Saccharomyces cerevisiae S288C: one gene and its partners. Changing the gene in region 3 together with the main gene of any one other region gives a genetic interaction. Each region holds a gene or a part of one and is shown on either strand. Other genes may lie near its edges. The genes, in order: HSP30, PRP3, LIN1 and NRG1.

What was found.
Region 1: mutations in LIN1 (region 3) and HSP30 together harm fitness more than expected from each alone (negative genetic interaction), as found in Saccharomyces cerevisiae (2 studies listed by BioGRID).
Region 2: mutations in LIN1 (region 3) and PRP3 together harm fitness more than expected from each alone (negative genetic interaction), as found in Saccharomyces cerevisiae (2 studies listed by BioGRID).
Region 4: mutations in LIN1 (region 3) and NRG1 together harm fitness more than expected from each alone (negative genetic interaction), as found in Saccharomyces cerevisiae (2 studies listed by BioGRID).

The regions. Positions count from the first base shown.
Region 1 is NC_001135.5:154,415-159,653, forward strand, and holds HSP30 (Hsp30p), read right to left. Parts: upstream 2,694-5,239; coding exon 1,695-2,693; downstream 1-1,694. Other genes in the region: PET18 (Pet18p), read right to left, coding at 1-245; MAK31 (Mak31p), read right to left, coding at 416-682; HTL1 (Htl1p), read left to right, coding at 906-1,142; YCR022C (uncharacterized protein), read right to left, coding at 3,007-3,351; YCR023C (uncharacterized protein), read right to left, coding at 4,124-5,239. UniProt on the Saccharomyces cerevisiae protein: Probably cooperates with other heat shock proteins in the translocation of polypeptides through membranes. It may counteract the altering effect of heat shock on the plasma membrane.
Region 2 is NC_001136.10:1,403,945-1,409,793, forward strand, and holds PRP3 (U4/U6-U5 snRNP complex subunit PRP3), read right to left. Parts: upstream 1,911-5,849; coding exon 501-1,910; downstream 1-500. Other genes in the region: TRAPP subunit TRS31, read left to right, coding at 1-229; JIP4 (Jip4p), read right to left, coding at 3,520-5,849.
Region 3 is NC_001140.6:409,600-414,753, reverse strand, and holds LIN1 (U5 snRNP complex subunit LIN1), read left to right. Parts: upstream 1-2,347; coding exon 2,348-3,370; downstream 3,371-5,154. Other genes in the region: KEL1 (Kel1p), read left to right, coding at 1-1,069; REC104 (Rec104p), read right to left, coding at 1,299-1,847; LAM1 (Lam1p), read right to left, coding at 3,965-5,154.
Region 4 is NC_001136.10:540,915-545,767, forward strand, and holds NRG1 (transcriptional regulator NRG1), read right to left. Parts: upstream 2,456-4,853; coding exon 1,760-2,455; downstream 1-1,759. Other genes in the region: YDR042C (uncharacterized protein), read right to left, coding at 1-289. UniProt on the Saccharomyces cerevisiae protein: Transcriptional repressor involved in regulation of glucose repression. Binds to UAS-1 in the STA1 promoter.

The DNA of each region.
Region 1 (5,239 bases), on a different chromosome or scaffold from region 3:
TCATTAGAAAAAAATCCAATCTTTTTGGCTAAGGTTATTAAAGCGTGAGTAGTTGGTGCTAAAGAAGTCGTCTTACATATCAACCTTAAGCTAGTTTCAAAAAATTGCAGATCTTGTGATAAATAGATGTACAAACTACGGTCCTTCAATGTTCCGGCACATAGTTCCTTAGCGAATTTATGTTCTGTGGTTTTCCTAACAAGGGCGTCGTACTTTTGTATTAACTTATCAGTGGTACAGCTCATTGTTCTTCCTTGCAGATATTGTTGATATTGTTATTATTTGCGCTAAATTTTAGTTAATACAGAAAAAAATATCTAAGTTCAGTCCAGTTCATATTCGTTTATATATCTTTCGAAGCCAGACCTTTTTTGCCAAGCAATTGTTACTATGGAAACTATTAGAACCATATGCGCTAAACAATATTAGCCATCAATTCAACTTTATTCGCAGTAAGCTCCTGCAGAACAGGCTTATCAATCATTATGGTCTTAACGGAACGCCTAGGGACGCTGACTAGGCCCATCATTCTACTACTGGAGCCCATACGTTCCTCAACATGATCTAATAGCAAATTCATTTGGGCATCTACAGCAACCAAGCTTCCAACTAAAATACGATCTTCTGTAAGGGAAACTATTAAAGTATTTCCAATAAAATCTGACAGTTTCAAGATGTCCATGACGCTTTGGTGCCCCTTACTAAGTTTGTTGAAGACTATCTTCACCCTATCAATGATATCATCGCATTTAAAAAATAGTCAGAACTCATGCACTTCGCGAGATATTTTTTGAAAAAAAAAAAATTAATCCGCCACATAAGATGCACAAAATGAGCCTATAACATTGAATTTTATGATAGAACGAAAGGATTGTGTTATTTAGAACAGAGTATCAGTATATCGTATGTCACAGAACAACACAATCAGCTCAATGAATCCTGAAAGAGCTTACAACAATGTAACGCTGAAAAATTTAACAGCATTTCAGTTATTATCTCAAAGAGAAAACATATGCGAGTTATTGAACTTGGTAGAAAGTACGGAAAGACACAATAGTATTATCAATCCTGAAAGGCAAAGGATGAGTTTGGAAGAAATGAAAAAAATGCTCGATGCTTTGAAAAATGAAAGGAAAAAGTAGGAAAACGCAACATTCACAATTGTAAGCTACAAAATATTGAATGTGAATCCTGCTTCATTACAAATGAAGAATTTCAAAGCGTATCTAGTTCACCAAAAGTCACAATATCTTATTATTATTTGGAAGCTTTTATATGCATCTAATGGTCATAAATCCCATCTCACTTTATAAAACAAGTTACCGCGAATGTATCCAGTGATACAGAATAGAGTGTAACAAATGAGAATAAAAATACCATATTATCGTTTAATTTTGGTAGGGTACGCTAAAATAAAGTGGTGTTTGCGTCTCCATATAACTAAAAAGAATTGAAATGGCCTACTATCGATTAGACTATTCAGGCATGGAAGCAGTAAGAACATTTCTTGATTTTGGAAAAATGAGATTAGATTATTAATTATTGTGTTTGTGTATATAATTTATTTTGCATATTTCATAAAGAAATTAAAATTAGATTATTAAATATTAAGTTTCATTAGTGACATTAAAAGAAGAAAACTGATGTTTTGAAATGTGTTAAGCAAAGAATGATTAAGACAATCTCAAGCTGCTCTAAGCAGTATCTTCGACAGCTTGCTCTGCTTCAGGTTCGGGTTCGTGGATTGCAGTCTCTCCAGATGCTCTTGGGCTCTCTGGAACAGCTTCTTTTGTTTCAGGAGCCGCATCTTCCACATCGTCCGTAGCATGGTGATGAGAGAATCCTCCTGTCAAAGATAGCCTTGGCAATTTGCCATCACGGCTGACTGCAATTAGCAAGTAACATGGATAAATGGCAAATACACATAAATCCAAAACACCATAAAAGATAGCCTCACCGTCTGGTTGAATACGGTTACCACCATCACTTAGACCCCAACAGATAAAGTACAACCAAACGATTACCATGCAGGTACACAGCATAAGTGCATTGAACCCTCTAGTTTTCAAATTGAAGAATTGACGTTGGCATATCACACCTTGGGTAACCAACATAGCGACAGCACCAATGGTGTAATAACCCCACTTGTAGGTGGACTTGATCAATGAACCAACTAATAGCGAAACAACCCAGAATAAGGTACCCACGATTTGAATTAACAGCGAATGTACCATATCCAAGGCGGAAATGTCGTCATTCTCACCAGTAGTACTAGCGGCTAACTCGATTAAAAATAAAAGGCATGGCCAGGACAAGAACCAGGCAATATATTTCGAGTAAAAGATTTGTCTAATACCGGGAACTTCACCTGTGATAGACTTGCTAACCTTGACGTGGTTAAATTCAGCTTGAACACCAGTCCAACCTAAATCAGAAGCATAAGTGAAGAAAGCAAAAAATTCAAAGAAAGTGATCAAAAATGCAGGAGCTAAGGCATATCTAGTCAATCTGGAGCCCTTGTTCTCCGCAATGAAGAACATCACAACATAGCATAGCAATATAAAGCCAAAGACTGCAAACACTGCCCATAACCAATCCGAACCTCTCTTGGTAATGTGCATATCCAGGCCATGTGGTGGATTAAGCCCTAAAGCCTCGTTACGATTTAAAAAGCTTGATAGCGTATCGTTCATTTGAAATTTGTTGTTTTTAGTAATCAAAAGATATTAAAGTCTCAAACTTGTTGTTTTGTTTTTGTAATTATAAATAATAATAATTGAGTTAATATTTGTTGTTGTGTTGTATTGCAGAATGTAAAAACAAGAAACAAGATTAGAAAGTGAATAGGTGTTACGCTAAATAATTGAAGACTCTCACAGACTTATATATGATTTTTTTAGTGTGATACAACTTGTAATGAGGTAAGGGATTGATATTATACTTTCTAACTGATGATGAATATGAAAACTTTGGCCAATTAGGGAGAGGAAAGTTTTCGATGAGATGCTAGAAAAAAACTTGTCCTTGCCATAGCAGAAAGGGATGATGAAATAACGAAGATGAGCTAATTTGGTATTCGAATAAACATGCAGGATGTGGCGGAAGGGATCGGAATAAGAGTCGGGATCGGGATCGGGATATGGCTTTGCTTACTTTAGCCATACCAAATATTCTTACAAAGCACGCTTTCGATGCGTTTTTGCCTTCTGAGAGAATCCTCCTACGGCTCGACCCTTGAAAAATTCTAGAGGATCTGGAAAATGGCCAACAAAATCGCGCAGGGAGACGCAAGGAAAGTAAGTCAGATGGATCCGACTGTATGTAACAAGGGTTGCTGCAGCGGTTTTCCATCCCTTTCGGCACCCTGCACAAGTAGTTATTCTTACTTATGCAAAACGGATATGAGCTACATAGCGTTCATTTTTTAGGTTTTCAGAAGCTATTACAACGCAGTAAAAAGGATACACAACTTTCTTACGGGGAAGAAGAATACGGCTCAATGCACCCACTTCAACCCCCGGTATCACGCGGCACTAAAGTTGTTTGATTGTAATAGTAATACTGCTGTTGAGGTTTTCTTCTTCAGGGCTGCTCACAACGTGATATATTTGAATTGACAGGACGTATTCAGCGCAGTTGAGGAAAATTAACATATGACATGCGCAGGAAATAAGTGCTCAAGTTTTCTACTTTTGAAGAAAGGACTTTGGTTTACTTGCCTACTATCTCCATGTCAAGTACTCGGTTGTATGATGTTAAGGAGCGCAGGGAACACTAATCGATAAAAAACCCTTATTGGCTATTACTAAATGTAACGGCCGTGCTCTAGTGAAATTTGTATAGAAAAATGGGTTCTCTCGCTCAAAATGGGCGCCATTACTTGTCTGGTCAAATTGAGTTCCTGGATATAATTACATAAACGGATTGAAATTTACATAAGGAGTATAATAATTCCGGAAACTATCTTGAGTGCAATGCCATCACGCGGCCATGCCTTGACATAACATGCTCTCATCAAAAAGGTGCAAATTTTCGCCAGTTATGGTTGATATCTAAAATCTACTGGAGTTCATTTTTTTTTTTATTAGATATCCTTTTTGCAAGCCTTCTGAAAAAAAATTTCTCATGTGGTACAGCGTTGGTTACTTAAGCTGCTTAAACTAGATCGATGAGCCATTCTTAAATCAGAAGACTGTGACTGCGAATTGTAGGCATCTTCACTACCCTGTCCATGAAGCTCATTTTCGTTATCATCAATTGGTGCTATCTTATAACTTTGATAAAGAGCTACCATACAAAAAAGACTTAACGACCACCAACTGACCCAGGCGACGTCATTTTGCTGGGACCAAGACATAATATAGCCCCATACTAAGGGACCTATGAAACGAGCAGAGGCAGAAATACTAATGGTGGCGCCATTGATGACTGATCTACAACTCAAGGGACTCGAATTATGAATTAATAACATAATTTGTGGTGACGTTAAAGCGCCACAAAATGTTTTTATCCCTGTGATTATGTACAAGTAGACGACAGTATACCAGCTAGGAATCCGTTCATTCTGTAGAAAAACAACGTAAGGAACCATAACGTACATAATAGGGTACAGCTTGACTAAAGTTCTGAAAATTGTTAAACAATCGAAATTTCGATCAACTATGGGAAAAATGAAAATAACCACAAAACAACCAAAGATACCTGTTGTCGACAAAAGAGTACCGGTTTGTTCTGGTTCATAACCTATACCGCCAGATATTTTCCACGGAAATTTTGAAGCCAGCTTCTTTGGATTTTCTGGATCTACGGCTAAATCATAAGCTAAAAAAACAGGCAAAAATTCGTTGTATACAATCAAATGTAAAGCCATAATAAAATTCACCGATATAGGGTAAAATACTTTTGTATGAAAAACGTGATGAAATATACTACTTTCTTTACAACCGTCTGGAGCTGTATCTATATTGGCATGCACAGCGTCTGTTGGTTCATGCAGAGAATATGTCCTAATCAGGCCTACAGACTGTCTTCTTGTTAAAATAGGATCAATCGATTGTATGCTTTCAGTATCATCGTCATTGGTAGTATTCACTAGGGGACTATTTTCATCCTCTTCACTATCTTGTCCTCGAATGCTGTTCACATTCTCATTACGGTGGTGAATGTTTTCCGAATCATCCTGAATGCGCTTTTGCCAGGGTCTTCTTTTCGGCTGTATACCAAATATATTCTTCTTAAT
Region 2 (5,849 bases), on a different chromosome or scaffold from region 3:
ATATATGATAGTAGATAACTTCCCCACTTTAACCCAATTTATCCCAGGTGAGAACGTTTCTTGTGAGTACTTCGTTTGCGGCATTATCAAAGGATTCCTTTTCAATGCTGGATTTCCATGTGGCGTGACAGCACATCGAATGCCCCAAGGCGGACATAGTCAACGAACCGTTTATTTGATCCAATTTGACAGGCAAGTGCTTGACAGGGAAGGTTTGAGATTTGGCTGATATCATCTCAAAACATCGGTAAATACCTAAAACCAAGAAAAGGATAAAGAGTTTGTATATTTACTGTTGATTTATAGACATATGCTCATATATTCATTACGAAGAATGATTCTTTTAATTGTCGATTTCCTTGAAGTACATCTATCATATAAAATCATTTTCTTTTTATATTTTGGAATGTTTTTGTGCTAAAAAAATCATTATTCTGGGCGACATACAGTAAAATAATATTTAATATGAAACAAAGCGTATCATTTTGTAGACACCGATATCACGTTTGAACAGGTGAATAAAAATGCTCTGAATCAAACTGACCCAGCGTACGTAATAAAGAATCCTGATCATTGCATACTTTCATAAACCAGCCTTTGAATTTACAATCTTGTAAATAGCCTTCCCAAGTTTTTGATATTGAATTATTATGCATGTCCATTTTTATATCCCCAGTGTTTGTGTGCAACTCAAAATCTTCATTCCATTTTATCCTCTTCATCACCAAATTCTCATAAAATTTGCATGATTTTTCGTTACCCACGACTATAATTATTCCTGGTCCGTCATCACGTATACGGAGGCATAAACCCTTTAGTGATAGTTCTTTACTATTCATTTTCAACTTGAATCTTATTTTTGGGTTCTGTAAGTTTTTGAACTGGAACACCTTACAATGGTATACTGTCGGCTTTTCAACGTTCATATTGACTGCTTCTTTCCTTCTTTTAATAGCATCTTCATGTCTTCTTTCGTTTTCTTCCAGATGTTTTCTCTTCCTGAGGTCCACTTGGTCTTTCACTACTTTTTCCCAGGCAGTTGGGTCCGTTATGTTTTGATCATTCTCGAAAACACTCATCATGTTGCTTAGTTTAACTTTCGGTTCAGGCTTAGGTAATAGTCCTAACTTAATTTTTATCTCCCGTGCTTCTCTTGCCATTTTCCTTCTATTTCTCCTTAATCTTTTCCTTTCATGTTGCGTTAGATATGCTTTGATTGATACTTTTGCCTCGTTGATCTTTTCAGGTAAGGGATGTGCTACATATCTTATAGATGGGTGCTCATCATCATCATCATCGTCTACTTCATCAATATCTTCTGCTAGCTTTTCTTCGGCAGGCGATGTGCCATTCATGTCATATTTTTCCATCAACTCACCCTTTTCATCTAAATAAGCCGTGTCCCACCATTCATAGCCATGATTATTATCATAGTATATCTTGAACTTTGACAAATCTAATAGGAACTTATCCTCATGTAACTCTAAATTGGGTAAATCACCTGACTCAATTAATTTTCTTTTATCTTTCTCGTCTTCTTCTTGTTTTAACTTTCTTTTTAATTCTTCCTCCTCCTGCTGTTTTTGTAATGTTCTTTCTTGGGCAATTCTTTTACTGATTTCTCCCTTTTGGTAAAACTTCAGACCCCGTTCATAACGCCTGTTAAATCTGCTCGATGAGCCTCGATCGTGTGGATCACTAAGATAGGGATTTTCACCAGTTTGATAAGTTCTTCGGATAAGATTCAAATTTGAAGACTTTAACGCTGAGTGAAGTTCGGTTTTCAGACCATGGCCCTGAAACTTCTCCTCATCATTGGTAGTTTCTTCACGCCGTAAGAAACTTGGCTTATAATATGGACTATTTTGGCGTTTCGGATTACCTTTTTCATAGGTATTTCTTGGGGGCATTTTTTCAAGCCAATTCAATAGATCGCCTGATGTTTTCTGTGAGTCTTTTTGATTGTTTTACGTCATCTGGCATTCTAATACTTTACTAGGACTATTTCTTGTTATTGATCAGTGCGGGATCCAGTCAGAAAAACGCAGATGTGAATAATATTAAAATTTGTATGCTAAAAAAATTAACATAGTCAAGAAACTTTCTTTGAGTCATGGCTCTTTACTTTAGAACATATAAGAACAATTCACAGTGCCTGTCCAGAGGCCAAAAGCAGTATCTCTAGCTAAATGGATATGTTAACTACTGTTTCATTGGAGAAGCAGTTTTTAACCTTCCTGTTTCGCGAATATAGCTGCCAAGTATTATCCAAAATTGGGGAGTGAAGAAAAAGTAATTATCAGCATTCATTTTCGAGAATTTTACCTAAACTTTTTCGATAACATTGATTGTTCACTACGTTACATAGCAAGCCAGAGCTAGAAAAACTTATTGATTACAATCAATAGACTTGCATCATACATAACTTCAGGGTACTTGCAAGAATTTTCCTACAAAAAAAGTTGACTACGACAACCTAAAGGAGAACAACAGATTTTGTCACCTCTCGTACTAGATAATTACCAAAAAAATGCTACCGAAAAGGAGATAAAACACATCTAGAACATAGTAGTATCATGTCATGGCTTTTTCAAATCTAAAATCTGTTCCCTGCAGTTGTCATTTTCTCTTAGTCGTCATTGATATTGTTAAAAAGTTCCGGAATACTATTGTTAGGTCGTATTCTTAAATGAATAAGCTGTCAAAAAATGGAGTAGTATGGCAGTAAATTTGGGAAGCACAAAAGAAAAAATAAAATTTCTTGATGAATGTGCCTTTCACGAATGTGACTTCTCTTCCATAAATCCTGTTTCTCATCAATGAGCAGCTTCTTCCTCCAAAGATAACTGTTGAACCCTATAATTGTGACAGGTCAAAGAAGCCAATATAATGAAAAAGATAGCCAGTATCTATATTTGAACCATTTTAAGGATTTCACTGAATTGCAACGATACTGTCTTGTTTCGTGGACCTTGCACTTCGTAGATTCATCATGTTCTATACGTTTTTCATTTCCGCATTCTAAACCCAAAAGACAAGGGTTACAGCGTATGTTACGACACAATTCAATTCACCATTCCTAAGAAGTTAATATTGCAATATTTTTGCAACAATAACAACCGCATTGCTTTGAAAGTAATTGCAATAACTATGGATAAAGATCCATTATCTTGACTGGTGCTACTTTCAAAGGAGGTATACCTAATAATATAAAGCTTTGAAAGAATTGACGTGATACTAACCTTGTACATTGATTCTCATTTTAACGATTTTACAAACTCACTTAGCACGCATTATTGCCGGAAATACGAATAGGAACCCAGCTTATAATGAACACTGTCCACATTTCTTTTAGGTGAGAATGCGATGATGGAATTGCAGCATTATTAATTACTAGTGTAGGGTATTGAATGTCATTTTTGTCGATTAATATGTACAATACATGTTATGCATAAAGGCACAAAGTCATAAAAATGTTATAGAATTATATCGAATAAACACATAAGAACGTAAGACCAACTACAGCCTTCCGAACCCAAACAATCCGCCACGCTTAGGCGTATTTTTACTCTCATCTTCCTTTCTGAAAGATGACGGGGATCTCGATTTACTCTTAAAAAAAGAGAATAAACCACCACCGCCTGAGCTTGGTTTCAAGTGTGCTGAAGTTACGACCGGTTTTTTAATACGTTTACCAGAGTTCGAATCATTAGATTTTACTTTTCTGAGCGAAGATGAGCTACTGACTTTCCTCAAAGATGAATCCTTATTACCAGAACTCACACTATATGACTTTGAAGGTGCCAAATGGGGAAGGCCTGGAACGGACAACTGATCTGTGTCACGATGATGGTGATGATGATGTTGTTGTTGCTGGTCCCCTGGGCTGTCTAGCGAGTGCCTAGATTTAATAGCACCCAGTGCAGCATTACCATCTACATTCTTGACACTCGACGCGAACTTGATTTGCGGAGAACGTGATCTCGACGCACTCGCACTTGAGTTTATATCGGTAGCAGTAGGAGAGCTTGGTTTTGATTTGTCTCTTATCCTTGACTTAGAGCTTGATCTTGACTTGGATTTGGATCTAGATGAACTTGGATTGTCCAAAACATCAAGCATGGACCTCTGCGGGGTAGCCACATGCCTTGGAGGAGCACCACCTGTGATGACTCTTTTCAGTTCTTCAAAGCCCGACTCCATAGAGTGTGCTCTCTTTTCGTCTACATCCCCATTTTCAATACTATCAGTGATGCTATCGATTTCTAATGAAAACTTTAATGAAGATTCCAAAATAATATTCAGTTTTTTCAAATGCCTCTGTCCCGGTGGTATTGATGAATCATGATCGGCGTCATTTAACTGCTGAGCCATACTCTTTCTACGTTTCCTTGCCATGGTACATAACTTTTCCTTTACCGAAATGTTAGAGGTTAAGGATTTCACGGACATCACATCATTCTCATCATCCTTAAAAGCGTTAAGCTCATCATCAGATGCTTCCTCTCGGCTACTATTGTTAGCACCATTAGCTTCTGGGGCATAACATAGTGAATCTATAGAATAATCGTTATCTTGCTTCCGTTTGATATTTGAGATAGTTGGAATGCTAGCATCTGCTGATTTAGAATGGCTGAACCCAGGCTTTGGACCGCTAGTATTTTTTTGTTTCGTTACCTCCGGTTCTTTAAACTCTTTTTGCAAATCTATTTCCAAATCGAACATTCTCTTTGCCGGTACAATAAACGTTGGAATCGGAAAATTAGTACACAGTTTATCTGTCAGAAAGTTCGATTTCCAACGAACTAAGCTGTCTGTTCTCTCCCACCTCAAAGTGCTAGATACAAAGAAATCAGGTAAATAGATGTTTATTGCCTCAAGAAGCGTTTTTTTAGTCTTGCCAATTAGGATCTCGACAGTGACCTTGACAGAACGATCTTGCGGAATTATGAGTGTAACATAATCAAAAAGATCTTGCAATTTACGTTCTATTTCGTTCTGCGTATAACCAGATGTCCACTCGATAAAATTTTGGTGCTTTAATTTGTTGTCAGATTCCTCAGGCCCCAGAGAAAGTGCCCTTCTTGTACATATGGATCGTGATCTCGATCTGGATCGTGATCTTCTTGCTGAGCTAACACTCCTGCTATCATCCATCATCATTAGCATTCTTTTTCGCTCACTCATCGAATCATTGTCTTCGAAATTATTCTTAGTCAGGCGGGGCAGGTTTGCCAACACAACAATGTGGTCTGTATTTTGAATCAAAGTTCGTAGCGCCCAATCTAGTGCTACCCAAGTATGTTTCCTGCCGCTGATGTGGCACAATATCGTTCGAGGAGTGTTCGGGAACCCAACCTTTTCGCTCAAAACACGCTCTTTCCGCTTTTGAGACTTAGTCAAAGGCGTAAAGCCGTCTTCTATGGGAGGATTGAATTTTATTGTGGGAGTAGCGCCCTCAGACGACTTTTTTTTGTTTGGAGGAAACAGTATTGTTGGGTAATTGAAGAAATCGCGCTTTTGTTCTAATCGATGATCTATCTGATTTTTCTTCTTGATCCATAGTTGTCTCCAATTGGCATACGCCCTACTAATCACAAGAGCGTCATTGATATCGGTGGGTGTAGTAGGATAGTCTTCCCTTACAATTTTACCATTTTCAGAAATCTTAAACATCTTACCTATTTTGATGTTTCTTTTAGAGGCAGGAGGTGGAGAAGAATACCTGCCGGGACTAGCACTGCCCTCTCGCCTACTCGAATAGCTATTCCCGGAGAAGTAGTCGGCATTGTTGTCCGAGGTAAAGCCACTTTCGTCGTCATAATATTCCTCCATTGTATAATCTGCAG
Region 3 (5,154 bases):
GACGGAGCTATGGCAGTTAAAATCCCAGAAGAATTCTGGGACAACGAAAGAAATAGATGAATTGGATTCCGTCAGACTGCAATCAAAATGTGAAATACTAGAGGCAGATAATCATTCCTTGGAAGATAAAGTTAATGAGCTAGAAGAGTTGGTGAATAGCAAATTCTTAGACATAGAGAATCTAAATGAAGTTATACAATTTCAGAACGAAAAAATTAAATCCTTAGAACTAGAGCCTAATTACAAAGAAAAACTTGAAGAACTACAGATAGAACATGAGAATTTGAGTAGAGAAAATGAAAGGTTGAAAAATGAAAGCAAACAACATAACGAAGATATAATCAATAATGTTGCGAATTACTCGTCACAGTTAGGCTCATTGATCAGTCATTGGAAAGAAAACAGAGCCAACTCTTCGTTTCTTGAATCTTCTTCTTCTTTGATATCTGTATCGGATGAAAATGGCGAGAAAACTGTCGGTGAACCCTATGGTGATCAAAGTCGTCACCACCGTGTAGTGATTAACAAACTAACGAATAGATTGGACGATTTGCTGGAGAGAAGTCAAGAGCTAACAATATCTAAAGAAAAACTATCTTCTGAATACCATGCTTTAAAGATGGAACACAGCTCATTAAGTCAAGATGTATTAGTAAAAGAGAATGAAATCAAAAAAATACAGAATGATTACAAAGAAAGTATCAGTTCTATGGACAGTGCAAGTAAGGCACTAATGGTTTCACAAAGAGAGCTAGAGAAGTACAAGAGTTTGAATAAAAAGTTAATCGACGAGTTAGATGAATTGAAGTTCAAAAATGGCGTCTGCAGTGAAAATTTCGAAAATGGTCTCAGAAGCACCGAGGAGAGTTCCAATAATGTAAAAAATAGCAACAGCATAAGAGAAAATCAATTCAACATCAAAATAAATGATCTGAAAGCGGAACTCTTCATCACTAATCAAGAAAGAGATGACTTGAAAAGTGAAGTGTTAGAGTTGAAAAAGAGATTATTGAATTTGGAAAATAACACCAAACAAGTTAATGAAGATGCTGACAGCGATCTACTATAAAAGACAATATGCGTAATGAAATTTCACTTTTCATGTGTAATAACAATAATAATAATAAACATTGATAATAAACATTAATAATATTAATAGTAATCATAACAATTATAATAATGATATAATATAATAATAACTGTACTCTTGACAAAAATTTATATATCATGGAAGAATAAATGAAGGAGAGAAATAGTAACGTGACAAATAGCTTATGCTAACGATATCAAACTAAATCTCAGGGACTACTAAACTGAAATATGCTCCCATTTGAAGCCTGTCTCTCATACATCAGCGCAGAATAGTCCGATTGCAGTATTTGGGCGGTGCTGGACGAAGATATGGGTCTGATTTCATTTACTTCACTTCGTAGCAATGTAAAGCTAAATTCATCCTCTATTTCATCTCCTGCTTGATCATTCCTCTGTATTAAAGGATCGTCATATAATGTGTCACTATACAGAAGACAGGTATCATTATTATTGCTTTCCACCCTCTTCGGCATGCATACTGGGTCGCCTAAGATAAACGGAAGAGATACTGTTGCAGATTTCTTAAAGGAATTGCTTAAGAGGTACGTTGAAGCTGTTCGTTTTAACCCAGGCTTAGGATAGTTTGTCCATGACATGATACAATTTACTGCCTTATCAAATTCATCTTTATTTATCCTTTTTACGGTCTTGTTATTTAACCCAAATTGAATGCTAACCCTTTCAGTTACAAAGTATTGGTGAAGAAAGTCTTGCGTACATGTGATCTTATTTGTATCTTCCTCCTCGATGGACATGTTGTCCAAGTTGCTGTATGTTCTTTTCTTCAGCAGTTTGTTTTCTTATACAAAAGATATATTTTATTTGGTATAGCGGAAAATAGCCGCCAAATATTGTGCGTCAAAGTTGAAGAAACATAAAGTTTAACACTACTGGTTTATGAAAGAAAAGACTACATTTGTAAGCCTACTCCAAATTGACCTTTGAATAAGTGTGGCTTACTCTATTAGCTAAAGGACATTATCACTCATCACCATGAACATTCAGTAGTAACATAAAAGTCCCTGCCTTGTTTGTGAATGAGGGTCCCTTCCTTTACATTCTACCAACATAGTCTCCTTTTCTTCCATTTATGCCCTAATAATCGATTTTAATTACTTAATGGGTAAGTTTCTCTGACTAGATTAAAAGAAGCGCATCCGAACAAATTGGAATGACCATGCTAAGCTGCCTTTTAAAGAACAAGGGAAAACTTTGATAAAAACACTCAAGTGCACCATATTGTTTGTAGAAGGATATGAAATATACGCAATACCCGAACAGCTCAAAACTGAAAAGAAATAGTGATCGACGTGAACACGACGAAAAGCTTAGCGATGAGTTACATAATCAAAGTACGATATATGAAGATGAAGAGCTAAGCAGGGCAGAATATGATTCTGATTCTGATTCTAGCGTTGAAGATTCTACAGATAATGAAAATAGTGGGAAAGAAATGGATGAAAAATCCTATGAAAAAAATGAAGATCACGTCGAAGACCATAGAAAGCGAAAGAAATCGAAAATTCAGCTTTTGGATATTGCAGAGTTCAAGAAAGAAAACTTAGCCGACTTAGATTATCAGATCGGTAATTCAGAGAGCAAGGTAGAAAAAGGTGTGAATATAGAGCCATTTAATATAGATGACGAAATAAAACATGGGGTATTCGATAAAGATGGGAATTATATTAAGACAGAAAACGCCACAGAAAATGATCAACAAGATAATGAGGAATGGATGAATGATGTCATAAATACAGAGGAGGTAAATCGCTTAGAAAAGGAACAAAGTGTCAAAACGCAGAATTCGAGACATTATATGGTCCACGAAGCATTAAATCTTTTGAAATTTTTTCTTGTTGATGAGAATGAAACAGTACTGGAATCCTTGGGCAGGTTAAACAAGCTGCGAAAAATTGCCATTTCAAAAAAGAACAAATCATTGAAATATGTTATTCACGGAATCGAGCTATTATCTGATTTGATCAATATACTAGAAAAAAAGGGATTCAGTGAAGTATATGAATATAACCGCTTAAAAGTTCAGGATGCTATAGAAGAGGAAATTTTCGATGACTCCTCCAGAATAGTTAACCATAAAACAAAGTTATGGGGCTTCAAGTGGTTGAACAAATTAGATGAATATCACGGCCTGTACACGAACTATGAAATGTCTTATTGGCAAAAATCCTACTTCAAAAACAGTGTTATAGTAAAATTTCACAGCGAACCAGATCGAGATGAAAACTGGATACATGTATCGTGTTTAAGTTTCATGTAAGATATAAAAGTTGAAATTATTCAAGAGAATTGCCTGCGAGACTATATAGTACTAAGTTTATTGTTTGGTCAGATAAATTGATGAATGTTGGATAGGAAATTTTTATCAATCATATCAAAAGATCTGAGTGAGCTGAGAAGGTTATCATCATATAACAAATAAACAGGACTATATTATTGGCAGACAAAAAATGAGTATCACAAGTGTACAAGGAAACCAGGACAGTAAACCTACTGTCGCAAATTTCCTCTATCCACCTGGCGCGTAAGAATCACCTGATAAAGATATCGTTGAAAGCATCGACCTAGACATTTTTAAGCTGCCATAAATTGGGCTGATAAATTTGTGATATTTTTCTCCAACTGTTTATGGTCTCTTATATACTTTGCGAAATTCTAGAAAAACGAAAAGGTGAAAAAAAGAAACCCGGAAAGGGCGAAAAAAAAAAGTACTTAGGGTTAGCACCACAATTATATAAAATGCTATGTATTTTACAATATAATCATGAGCCAAGAAATAAAAAAAGTTCACCCATTCTATTAGACAAGACGGGGTCCTTCTGATTATTGAAGAGTAGACATTCTGGGGCACTATTCAGACTGGAATGGCAGATAATCTGTTGTACTCTGCAAAACATGCCATACAATAATCTTGTAGTTTGGTATCGTTTATCCATAAATCAAAGATTTCATTCTGAGTGGTGATGCATTTGTCTCTTTCTGTTATTATGAATTTTCTGTAACTTCCCTGTACGAGTTCCTTTTCCGTATTTTGTAGAATTTTTAATTCCGTCAGCACTTGGTTTCGTTTAATTGCAATTTCTTGCCTTGTTCCTTTGTACTGGTATGCATTTTTGTCTTCGTCAAATCTCTTGAATACTGGATTTTCCTGGTCATTATCCATCATTTTTCTTGTAAGTAGGTTCAAATCAGGCACTGTCAAAGACCGATGCATGATTTGAAGTCCTCGCTGATCACCATTGGCATAGTTCTGAAATAGGGTTTCGGCTGACTTTACGGAGAAATATGAATGAATAGATTTACCAACAAAGAACAAATTGGTTACCGCAGATATCAAAAGACAATAGTATAAAGTTTTGTTAACTTTTGAAAAACATTTGAAGATAACCATTACCATTGCCAGTAAAACTTTCATGGTCTTAATGATGACACTGCTTAAATAAAACACGGTCAATTTTGTAAAAATTTTTGAAAGAGACAGAAAATCATAATTGATATATACAGGTTGCATGAAATCGCCGGCCTTTTCATCGTTTTCTATTCTTTCCTTTGGTAAAACACCAAGGAATCCACACAATTTAATAACATCACTCATTTTTTCTCTATCGTTGAATTTTTTTAGATATTCCCTCGTCTTTCTGTTAATTTCAGAATGTTCAAGTTTACAATATCTCAATGCCCAGTTGAGGTGTATTCTTTCAAAAAGCCATAGTTTTTCAACTTTGGTATTCAACTTATCAATAGATTCAACATAGTTGAAGTCATATAGTATTGCCAGGTCACATTTTTTGAGGGACTCTCCTTGAGAGGTGATACATTCTGCAATTATGAACCTCACACGAAGGAGTAAGGGATGGCATAGCGGAAATTTCACAATAATGGGACCTTCTTCCACCTCAAAATAATAACCTTGTTTTATTTTTGTCACACGCTGCTGAAGAACTAATTTGAAGTTGTCATTGTCATCCTTCAACCATAATAGATCTTTGATAAAATTAGAAGTTCGATTCAGTTGAAACTGTAACTTACGGCAAAGTTCAAATT
Region 4 (4,853 bases), on a different chromosome or scaffold from region 3:
TATACTCCGCTAATCTGAAAATGGTAAAAAATAATATAAAAACATTCTTGGTAGCAGATATGGAATCTGAATTCATATTGAGAAAGTTTCGCTCAGTACTCCAACTACTTTCGAGCAGAGTAGTGGAATCAGATTCCATTATTGAGGCTTTCGTTCCGAATAATTGTATAACTGGGTTATAAAATAGTTGTTGGAAAATAGAAAAAATGAGGACCTTTAGAAACTTTAAACCTTGAAAAGTAGAAAGGGTAGAAATTTTAAGGCTTTGATTATATAATATTTGCTCCATGTTGTGAAAAGAAAAAGATTTTTTCTCTTAGAGACCTAGTCGTTTGTTAGCTGTTGTTGATTCGCTATTTTCAATAGTAAAGTTTCTAATAAAATGACAAACATGAAGAAGATATAAGTGCGTGTTCTTCCAATATATAATATTTGTACTGCAGATACACAGATTCAAATTTTTCCCTGTTATCCGCCTTTCTTCTTGGAAATTGGTAACAGGATTTTGTGTCATTAGCAAAAATAATAGCCATTAGTAAGTACGCTTTGTTATCCCGACGCGAAACAGAAACAGAAATAAAGAAAATGAAAGCTACTCTGATTTACGTTACCGCCATTGAAGATGGAGGATGAAGCACAATAAGAATAAGAAAAAAGAAAATCAGCAAGAATGACGCGAAAATATATTATCAGTGTTAAAAAGCTATTGTCAAAGTTTGTTTCCACCTATAAAGGATTCGGACGAAGAAATTCATGTTGTTGTTGTTATAGGATATCATCATATATATTTTCGATCACTCGCCAAGAGAATGTATAATAAGGAAAAAGATACCACGTTCTTCTGAACATGTTCAATATCCTTTCTCCTACTTTGCTCAGTACTTGAGCCCCATGCGTTTACATGATTTCAAAAGATATGGAGCTGAAGCCTTTTGTCTTGGCCGAGGATATGGCACCTTTTATATGACCGTATGGAAGACGTAGAGTGGATGAAAATTTTGTGAAAAAAAAAAGCTTATAGGAACAAAAACATCCTTACATCTTCGGGTATTTCTTCTAGGGTTGAAGTATAATAATTAACTATACTATTGTTCGGAGACAGTTCTGATGCCTAGTAAAACGCTTGCAGCTCTAAAAAAATTTGTCTTATTTTTTTCTTCTTCAATGAGCTGTTACCATTGCTGTAAGAGATGCTCGAAAGGTAGTACCTTCAGTGAATTATCTGACGTACATCACGTGAACTGTTTTGCGTAGTAAATTGTTCAACGATAATATATCGTTGTTAGTGATCAAAAAGTAACTATGCAAACTGCAAATGTCAAAAAGCCACAGTTTCTAAAAGAAAAGCAATGAATGAAGAAGGTTTGGGGTTGTAAATGTTAATGCAGCGACGTCTGTTTTTTTGTTATGACAGGAAGTCAGGAGGTAGTCACAGTCTCGTATTAAGCAAAAGTGGTCTGTTTAGGTGGCATAATAGCCTTGTTGCAGCACTACTTGCTACCGAGGCGCAGCCTTACAACTAAAATGTCCAGACATGATCTTAAGCGGAAGGGAGGGGTTTTTGCTTCCGTTTTTTTGACATTAAAAGTTTTCTTAATGCCGCGCGTTTGAAAGGAAACTGATCTGAAAGTGATTTATGATGCCAAAAAAAAAAAAAAATCTTTTGAAGTACAATGTATGTATGCATGAGTTTATAAAAAATGATGTAAAGTGCGGAATAGTAGTACTGCTAATGAGAAAAACACGGGTATACCGTCAATTATTGTCCCTTTTTCAAATGTGTTCTATAGTGTTGCAAGCAATTATCATGTCGACTGAATCGCTGCGTGCATCCCTTATACGGACAACAATGATTTTTTTCGCCCGTATGAATTCTATTATGCCTTGCTAAATGACCCGATGTAGTGAATCCTCTTGCGCAAATTTTGCAAATGTATTTGCGCCTTTGTTCAAGGTCTTCCTCATCTGATAACGTATTTCTTGGATCTGTTCTTTGCTTCCGCGTTTTCAGAGAGTATCTACTATTTGCCATCTTATTATATGCATCATTAGAAACTATTCCGTTCTCAGGCTGTTGTATTATTGATGAATTACAAGTTAGTTGTGATAGCGAGCTTTTTTCGGATGAATCTGAATTATATTGTACCGATGAATTGTCAAAAGAGACGCTTCTTGTTTGTAAATTAGGCGTTATTAAGTATTTTGGCTCCCACTTTTCAGAGCCATTTTCTGATTTGGTTTGGTATCGGAAATCAAAAGCAGTCTTATTTAATTTGTGTTTTAGTTCATTCTCTACCACATGAGAATTAGTTAGAACTGGTAGTAGCGTCTGATATTTTCTTTCCGGGCTTATTTCAACGTTTTCTTCATCTTGCATTCCATCAAATGCGGAGATTCCCGGCAGTGCGGGCATAGTAGAAACATTGAGGTTACTATAGTTATATGGGTAAAACATTGCCTGAAAGTTTGCGAAGGGTAGTAATATGCTGGTCGAGAGGAACAATCCAAGAAAGGTGAATGGTAGAAAAAGGCGCCGTAATGGTAGGAATTACAGTACAATAATACTTTGCAGAATCGTATACGATATGATTTTTACTTTCAAAAGCTGCAGAATTCCCTTATAGCATCAAAAAACTGTAAACGAGGTGGAGTAATATAATTTCTTTTAGTTAAGAGATGGGAACCAAATTTTTTTTAATTTGGGTTTGGAAAGTTCTCTTCCTTATATATGAATAACGGAAAAGGAGCCTGCAGCCAGACTGTAGAAAGATGACACTGCCAAGAGAATAATTAAAAGAAAAAACACCCCAAACACCCTGACCGGCGGCGAAGCCCCTCTGCGCGCTCAACGCGTTTCGTTTCACGCTTAAGGGTCCTCAAGAGGCCATAGTCTTTTACCGATAAGAAAAATCTAGACCCAATGAATTTTTCCCTTCTTTTCCGGTGCGGCCTTTTCACTGCTAAACAGTAAAAAGCATTTCTTGGCTTTCCCTGAGGGTGTTGACCGCAACCAAGCCAATACTTCATTTTGCTTTTTCCTCTTTTAGAAAACAGAGTTTTCCCTGTCTCAAACGTTTCAAAGACAAATATGCGGAAAATCAACTTATAAGTAGAAAAATACTAGCGATTTTTCTAGTTAGAATATTTAGGGGAACTATGCGAAGACAAACGGTGAAGTCAAAAGAAACACACTGCCTCGATTAGAAAGGCTTATCTGCCACAGTTTAATTTTTTTTTAATTTTATTTCTTTTTTTTTTATTTAACTAGAATCTGGCTAAAAATAAGCAACGGTCCGTGTAGATTACTGTTTCGAACGAGGAACAACTGAAGGAAAAGTTTTTTATTTTCCGCGAAGTTCGTATATTTTAGTTTTCTTTTACTCCAAGGGTTCGTGACGTCGAATTCCTATCAGCTTTTTTTTGCGCTTGGCGTTCTAGGTCCCTGTGCCCGTCTGAAACTATTCGTACATAGCATTACTAGAGTACATAATATCGTCTACCATACATACGACGGGTAGCCAGATTTTGTGCCGGATTGTCGGGGAAAAGACGGCAAATGAGCTCATACGTAATGGTGCGATTTTGATTCTTAGCTTTCTATTTCTGGAGAAAAGTACTCCAAGGTGGGGAAGGGGGGAGGCTGGGACTAGTTGTTATATGATGTAGCCTAAATGTAACGAGGCGTGGCTCTTTCATCTTATCTCAATGAATAAGTGTAAATTGCCTCGCCTGGTTTAATCTTTTCTCCACATGCAGTAATAGGTATAAAAGGAGTTGAAATTAAAAATAATAATAAATAATGATATAAAAATTATAAGTTTCTCCTTTCGGAACTAAAAAATAATATTAATAATAATATATAAATATTATATCTTTTTTATAATATAACATAGATACGAGTTTTTATGTTCCTTTGGCAATAGCTTTTCGTGACTTGTTTTAAATACAAGGCATATAGGCGCAGCTTCACCAAGATATTCTGGCTTAAACCAGCACTATGTATATTTTGGTGTTTGATACCGATATCGGCAGCTCGAAGCGTTTTTATGAACTGTAAAAATATGTCCTACATAGTTGTTTGGTAATTTTTTGGTTTTTTAAGATTGTTTTATGAATAGGTGTTTTACCAGAAGGCTATCGCCAGGTAACTCTTTTAACTAAATCGAAAAGATTTATTTGACGTGTCATATTGTAAAAACTAAATGGAAGACAGAAACTAACTTTGTCGACACCTATTTTAAACAAGTATCAAACGCGGGCTATAATTTTTATGAGAGCAATCAATGCAATGGAGTCTATTTCCGGTTAAATGGCACGATTGTGCGTAAAAACACGAGAAAGTGGAAGCATCTTTTTCTTAATGACGGATAATTACCCGAAACAGTGCAACTGCAAGTGCATACTCTTGAAGGACTTACATATTGAGAGGGAACACATTACTACCTTTCAAGAACACTCGCATTTACGGCGTACATATGGTTCCGCGGTAGACCCTAGGTTGAATTGAAAACCATGTTTTGAAGGAAAGCAAAGGCAGAATGAGAACATGGAGATGTAAATATTTTCCCAGTTAGGCATGACCCAAAATCGCAATCCAGATGCAATTTATTATGACACGTAGACCTTTCCGTATCTAACGTAATAAACGATATCTATTTTCGAGGCGCTCGACATCTCGTATCTGGGACAGAAAGTGAGGTAGATTATTCAAGAATACCTATTAAGAAAGGTAGAAGGTATTGCACCGATTCCTAGTATCAATTCTTTTCAAAACCACTTATTTTGCAAAACATGCGTCTAACCTGCCATTTCAGCAACGTAAATAATAATTACTTCCATATATATTCTTCTCC